2 linked regions of the Anolis sagrei genome follow. The protein of the gene in region 2 purifies or fractionates together with the protein of the main gene of each other region. This does not show direct contact. Links are inferred from orthologs where the notes say so. Each region holds a gene or a part of one and is shown on either strand. Other genes may lie near its edges.

Region 1 (3,745 bases), about 220 kb from region 2:
CTTAAATGTTCTCACACTTAGCCCCCTTCTACCCTGCCATATAAAATCCAGATTATCTGCTTTGAACTGATTATATATATGGCAGCGTAGAATCATATAATCTAGATAATGTGGATTATCTGATTTGATAATCTGGATTACATGGCAGTGTAGAAAGGGCCTTAAAATTACAACTGAGGCCCCTTTCACACAGCTGTATAAAATACACATTGAACTGGATTATATGGCATTGTGGACTCAGATAACCCAGATCCCTTCCAGACAACCCCAATATCCCAGGATCTGATCCCAGGTTTTCTGCTTTTTCTGCACTGCCAAATAATCTGGGATAAACAGAAAATCTGGAATCAGATCCTGGGATATAGGGCCTGTCTGGAAGGGCACCCAGTTCAAAGCAGACATTGGGACTTTCCACAAAGCCACATAACACAGAATATCAAGTCATATAATCCACAATATCTGCTTTGAACTGGATTATCTGAGTCAAGACTGCCATATAATCCAGTTCAAAGCAGACAATGTGGGATTTTATAGAGCTGTGTGGAAGGAGCCACTGTGGAGTATCTCTCTTGATATTCTGGGTTAAATGGCTGTGTGGAAGGACCCCGAAATTAGGGAGAGATTATGTGGAGCTCAGTCCCCATGCAATTCAATCCGCACACCCACAACCAAGCATTTGCTTATTTGTTTATATACAACTTTCAGTCTCATCTAAACGATAGTTATTTGTGTGAATTCTAGTGTGGCTTGGTCTCAAATTCAGGAAATGGAGAATTATTTAGCAAGGCCTCTTCTACACTGCCATATAATGCAGTTCAAATCAAATATTGCAGTGTAGGGCCATTCTACACAGCCAAATAACCCAGAGCCCTTCCAGATAGGCTTTATATCTCAGGATATGATCCCAGGTTTTCTGCTTTAAACTGGATTATGAGTCCACAATGACAGCGCTCTTCCACAAACCCTATATCCCAGAAGATCAAGGCAGAAAATCCCACAATATCTGTTTTTAATTGGGTTATCTGAGTCCACACTCAGATAATGCGGGATTTTCTGCCTTGATAATCTGGGTTCTGTGGTTGTGTGGAAGGGCCTGGAGTCCACACTCAGATAATGTGGGATTTCCTACCTTGATATTCTGGGTTCTATGGTTGTGTGGAAGGGCCCTGAATCCACACTCAGATAATTTGGGATTTTCTGCCTTGATATTCTGGGTTCTGTGGTTGTGTGGAAGGACCTTGAGTCCACACTCAGACACTGTGGGATTTCCTGCCTTGATATTCAGGGTTCTATGGCTGTGTGGAAGGACCCTGAGTCCACACTCAGGTAATGTGCGATATTCTGCCTTGATATTATGGGTTCTGTGGCTGTGTGGAAGGGCCCTGAATCCACACTTTGTGGGATTTCCTGCCTCGATATTCTGGGTTCTATGGCTGTGTGGAAGGGCCCTGAGTCCACACTCAGGTCATGTGGGATTTTCAGCCATGATATTCTGGGATATAGGGCTGTGTGTGGAAGGGCCCTGAGTCTGAAGGCCAGTGTAGAGGGGGGCCTGAGAGAAAGGCCCAGAACCAACACATATCCACGGATGAAGGCAGGATCCCCGCCCCCTTCCAGCAGCCAGGCCTTTCCCTCTCGCCCCTCAGAGGTGTCCCTGCCTTGAGTAGACACACACAACTCCTAGGGAGGAGAGCCGCCTTGATTCCCCACAAGGCCCAACTTTCGGCCTGCCTGCCTGCCCGCCCGCCTCCCTCCTTGGCTCTCACCTCTCGCCAGGGAACACAAACCGCAGACGAGGAGGCTCCTCAGCACGGCGCCCATCTTCCCTCCTCTGGCTCTCACCGGCGGGGAGGCGAAGGTGGCGGAGGGGGAGGAGGAGGAGAGCGACACCTCCTCGGCCGCCCTCTCATGCTTTCGGAGGGGCAGAAACGGAGCGGCGCCGAAACAATTGCTTGGAGAGGCCTCAGCCGGGGAAGGGTCTTCCCCTCCCGCCTTTGTCTGTCTTCTCTTCCCGGAACAAACACTACTCGGCGGCCGGGGAAGGGGCGGCGGGAGGGCAGGCGCGCGCCCCCATGGCCCCCGCCTCGCGCCAAAGGAGGCCTCCCTCGCGCACTCGCTCGCGCACTCACTCCGTCGCGCGCCGCGGCCTCCCTCAGTCCAGGCAGCCTCGATCCCCCTTCCCTTTGGAAGCCCGGGAGGGAGGCCGCGCGCAGGAACTACGCATGCCTGCAGCCTCGCCTGGGTTTTCCGAAGGCACAATCTCCCTTCCTTCTTTCCTCCTCCAGCTCCTACGGCAAAGGCATTCACGTCGGCCTTTGCTCGCCCGGGCCCTTTCTTTCTCCGGCCTGCTTTCTCTCAGCCGCTTCAGTCCTCCTGGCAATCCGCTAGCCCTGCCGCATTCCTCAGGGACTTCTTGACGTCTCTCGGCTTGAGGAAAATGGATAAAATAATCACACAAAGTGATGAGGCTCCGGCAGCGTAGCACCCTGGACCTGGGAAGGGAGTGTCGGAACTACTTCCAGGGACACCGCGAGAGCCGCAGAACCAGCAGCACAAAAGAGGAGGGGGAGGGGGAGGCGAGGAGGCTGGGACACATCCGCCGCGCCGCCCAGGTGAACGACGCGCGGCTCCAGGAGGCAGGACGACGAGGATCCCTCCGCCAGGAGCGCCCAGGGAGGGAGGGAGGGAGGGACAGAGGGAGGGAGGCGGGCCTTTTCCTCGCGCACTCGCCAGGAGAGCATTGGCCGGGCTGTGGTGGAGATAGGCGGGCAGGCCTTGGCAGCGGGTGGTTACCTCACACAACTTGGGTCCTTCCAGACAGGCCCTATATTCAAGCATCTGATTCTAGGTTTCCTGTTTGCCTCAGATTATCATGAAGCAAAAAGTGGGCGCTAGAAACAACATCATAGGAAAGCTGACTGGCACAACCTGGGGATCACAACCAGACACAGTGAAGACATCTGCCCTTACGCTATGCTACTCTGCTGCTGACAGGGGCGGCTCGTCCATTACGCGAAGTAAGCGGTCGCAGAACACTTTTTTTTGCCAGGGGCGCAGAGGCGCCTCTGTAAATGCCCCTCGACTGCCACTTGAGGAGCACCCCCTCAGCTCACAACAGCCCTAGCAGTCCGGGGGGAGCCTCGGCTTTCTTGCTTCGCTGCCGGGCAATCCTCTTCCCAAAGGGGCCAGGCCCTTGAGCCTCGCCTAGCCCCTCTCGTTCCTGCTCCACCCGGCCACCGGGTGCGTGAGCAGAGCCGGCGCTCAATCATTCTCCGCGTTCGTTCCCTTCCCCATGACCGGCTCCCTTTCCCAATCCCCCGGCACTCCACCCGTCTCCTCTCCTCTCCCCAATCTTCGGGTAGGCCAAGGGGCGGAGCCGCCGCACCTGGCCTGCTTCGGGTCCGGAGGCATGTCTGAAGACCCCAGCGTGCACACCAAAAGTTGCCTCTTCTCCTGACTTTCTCTTCAGCCATTGGGACCGAGAGAGAGAGAGAGAGAGCCCCTCCGGCTGGAGGTATCTCCCACCTCTGCTCCCTCCTTTGTTTTTGCTCCTACCTTCAGGAAAGGTGGCATTCTCCACCTCTCTCTCTCTCTCTCTCTCTCTCTTGGTCCCAATGGCTGAGGAGAAAGTCAGGAGAAGAGGTGACTTTTGGTGCACACGACGGGTCTTCAGGCACGCCTCTGGACCCAAAGCAGGCCAGGCAAGGGAGCAAATGCGGCAAGTGTAGTTACTGGGATGTATAGT
Region 2 (3,745 bases):
GACAAAGAGCCATCTAGCCATAGATATGATTCACACACACACAGATATAGTCTAGATTTGAAAGGGACCCCCTAAAGAAGGACAATGATATGTTGCATGTTCCAGAGTAGGCAAACCAGACAAATCTCCACATCAATACTGACAAAGAAACAGCAAAAAAAAAAAATACTTTTTACCCACAAGCATAAAGAAATTACATATATCAGAAACCAACACTTTCTCATTACTTTATTTCCCAGATCACCAGATGGTGCCACAGCAATGTGTGGCAGGGGACAGCTAGTAAGTTATATACATTCCTTTTTTCTTCCCTTTTTTTTCTTCCCCTCTGGAAATTTTTTAATATATTTTTTTCTCTCAACTTTCCTATACACTTATATTGTTCCCCCTCTTTTATTGTATCACTATAACTTCTTTGAATAAAAAATACTTTAAAAAATAAACAAGTTGATAGCAGCCCTTTAACTTGGCTTTAAAATCCCCCTCTAGCCAACATCACAAACATTGAATACAAAGAAGGGGCCGTGTGTATATTTACAGTGCATGTCCTATATTTAAAAAATAAACCTCAAACTTTGAAACTTCGAAAGCCTCGTGGCGGGGCCTTGGAGCAAAACAGGGGAGGGAGGCAATCAATGGGAACATAGAACCATAGAGTTGGAAGAGACCTCGTGGGCCATCCAGTCCAACCCCCTTCGGCCAAGAGGTAGGAAAGTTGCATTCAAAGAATCATAGAGTTGGAAGAGATTTTGTGGGCCATCCAGTCCAACCCCCTTCTGCCTAGAAGCAGGAAAGTTGCATCCAAAGAATCATAGAATTGGAAGAGACCTCGTGGGCCAGCCAATCCAACCCCATTCGGCCAAGAAGCAGGAAAATAATAATAATAATAATTATTATTATTATTATTTATTTGATCAGTCATATGACCATTTCAAAATAGAACACAAGGCAACAAGGTGAATAAGCAGGAAAATTGTATTTAAAACAACCCCGACAGATGGCCACCCAGACTCTGCTTAAAAGCCTCCAAAGGGGGAGCCTCCACCACGCCCCGCGGCAGGGAGTTCCACTGTTTCCCAACAGGAAACGGTTTGTTTATTAGCAGTCTTTGGGAGGGAGATTGACCCACGCTTCACCAAAGCTGCAGAAGAAGGGCTTGGGTTTGGTGAAGTGGTGGCTTCCCTGCCCAGGAGGGGGAAACTTCTCCTCGGCGCACAAGAAACTTCCTAACTCGAAATACGACAAAGGAGGGGGGAGGATCTGCTGGAGGGAGAAAGCCACGGTTCAAACTTCCTTCTGATCTAATGTATATTACCTTGATACAGAACTGGACAGGAGGACCCTCCGACATGTCTCCGCCGAGGAGGAGGAAGCACAGGCAGGAGGAAGGAAGAAAGAAAGAAGTTCTCGGCTGGCTTTCTCTCTCTCTCTTTTTCCCCCGCGCTGGCTGGCTTCCTCTTCCTGTTCCTCTTCCTCCCGGAAGGAAGCCTCCCCGCCTTGCCCTGCCCACCGCGGGCGGGCCAGCTATGCCCCACTTCCTCGGGCCCGCGCTTGCTTTTCCTGCGGGGGCGCCTTCCGCCCGGTGGCCTCCGGAGCCGAGGCGGGCATGGCCCCTTTGGGGGGTGGAGGGGGGCCCCCTCTTCCTTTTCCTCCCCTTCCTCCTCCTCCTGCCCGCCTTCCGGGGCCCCTGGATGGAGGGAAGGAGCGACAAGGGCGCCTCTTTCCCGGCAGAGAGAAAGCGAAAGGCGCCTCTCCGCCTTCGGGCATCGATCGGGAGAGTTTCAGGGCTGAGGAAAAAAGTGACGTGAGTTCCCAGCACTGAGCTCTGCCTCTTAAAGGGGACGGAGGCACACCAGGAAATACGGAGAGAGAGAGAGGAAGGAGGGGGAGAAAGAACCAAGGAAGTGAATACAAGGGATCTTTAGAGGAAACAGGAAGGAGAGGGGGAGGGGAAGGAGGGAATGGGCAGTCACAAAAGCGGAAGGAGGGGGAGGGAGGGAGGGAAGGAAGGAGGAGAGGGCGCGCAGCCAGCGCTCCTCCCGCTTCCTGCCCTTCCTTCTTCCCTCTCCCCTCACTAGGAAAGGGGAAGCTGCTTCCTCCAGGCCGAGTGGGGGTGGGGCAGGCCTCTGCTGAGGGAAACGGGGAGACTGGCTGGCGGGATTGCTTCAGCCTGCCACAGCAAACAGGCGAGCCAATGAGGGGGCTTCTATGCCTGCTCGCGCCGAGCCGAGTCTGGCTCGCGCTCTGCCCCCTTCAGGGGTTCCGACCAGGAAGCGAGGGCTTCGGTTACACAAAGCGAGGCGGGGGCAAGGAAAGAGGGAGGGGGGGCAACACGTTGGCGCCTCCCGCGCACGCGCAGTTAAAGCCCAAAGCGGGGGCCAATGGAGTCACTGATGAGTCTGTAAAAAAAGCGGGAAAACTGTGTGCTTCTCTTCATAATGACACGGCTGCTCCCGAGTTCTGCACGGCTCGCGCTCTCGCTCGAGTACAATGTTTCTCAACCTTCCTCATACAGTTCCTCATGTTGTGGGGACCCCCCCAAGCATAACTTATTTATTTATCTTGTCAGGAGTGAACCAAAACAGTTGTATTGCATTAAAAAAAACAGACAAACAAAACACAACATTTGCAGACTTGGTGTTCTATTAAATGTCCTTTGACCAGCAGCTGGCCACTTGGAGTGCCTCTGGTTTGTTTTTTTGTCCTGTCAGGAGCAACTTGAGAAACTGCAAGTCGCTTCTGGTGTAAGAGAATTGGCCGTCTGCAAGGACGTTGCCCAGGGGACACCCAGATGATTTGATGTTTTATCCTTGTGGGAGGCTTCTCTCATGTCCCCTCAATGAGGAGCTGGAGCTGATAGAGGGAGCTCATCCACCTCTCCCTGGATTTGAACCTGCGACCTGTCAGTCTTCAGTCCTGCCGGCACAGGGGTTTAACCCACTGTGCCTCTGGTGTTGCTGCAAGAAGGTCCTCCATTGTGCATGTGGCAGTGCTCAGGTTGCATTGCAGCAGGTGGTCTGTGGTTCGTTCCTCTCCACACTCGCATGTCATGGATTCCACTTTGTAGCCCATTTCTGAAGATTGGCTCTGCATCTTGTGGTGCCAGAGCGCAGTCTGTTCGGCGCCTTCCAAGTCGCCCAGTTTTCTGTGACCAGAGGCAGGCATGTAACCGGGGGGGGGGGGGGTTGGGGGCTTCAGCCCCCTCCCCCCGAAATTCTCATGGTGGTCCGCAAAAAGGCCTTACTGGTACATTATTTAAACTGATATGTTTATTCATATCATGATCTGATCACCATGCTCAATATATTCCATATGCATGGGGGTATTGGGGTAATGATACAAAAGGTTTGCTATGGTAGACTCTCTTTCACTCAGACTCAGCCCCCCCCCCCCCCCCCGAATCAAAATCCTGCCTACACGCCTGCCCAGAGAGGAGTCTCTCATTTGGTATCAGCCATCGGTTGAGGTTCTAGGTTTTAGCCTGCCACTTTTGGACTCTCGCTTGCTGAGGTGTTCCAGCAGGTGTCTCTGTAGATCAGGGGTCCTCAAACTAAGGCCCAGGGGCCAGATACAGCCCTCCAAGGTCATTTACCCAGCCCTTGCTCAGGGTCAACCTAACTCTGAAACAACTTGAAAGCACACAACAAAAGCAACAACTCTATCTCATCAGCCAAAAGCAGGTCCACACTTCCTATTGAAATGCTAATAAGTTTATATTTGTTAAAATTGTACAGTGTACATAGGA

What was found. Proteins that work in one complex are often made in the same cells at the same time.
Region 1: the proteins of ETV6 (region 2) and LRP6 purify together in Homo sapiens (affinity purification with mass spectrometry; 3 studies listed by BioGRID and IntAct, counting the BioPlex papers as one, with this or other methods). This does not show direct contact. The link is inferred for Anolis sagrei from reciprocal best matches to the Homo sapiens genes ETV6 and LRP6.

The regions. Positions count from the first base shown.
Region 1 is NC_090025.1:101,786,622-101,790,366, forward strand, and holds the start of LRP6 (low-density lipoprotein receptor-related protein 6), read right to left. Parts: upstream 2,654-3,745; 5' UTR 1,822-2,653; coding exon 1,767-1,821; intron 1-1,766. UniProt on the Homo sapiens protein: Component of the Wnt-Fzd-LRP5-LRP6 complex that triggers beta-catenin signaling through inducing aggregation of receptor-ligand complexes into ribosome-sized signalosomes.
Region 2 is NC_090025.1:101,567,075-101,570,819, reverse strand, and holds the start of ETV6 (transcription factor ETV6), read right to left. Parts: upstream 2,196-3,745; 5' UTR 1,352-2,195; coding exon 1,316-1,351; intron 1-1,315. UniProt on the Homo sapiens protein: Transcriptional repressor; binds to the DNA sequence 5'-CCGGAAGT-3'. Plays a role in hematopoiesis and malignant transformation.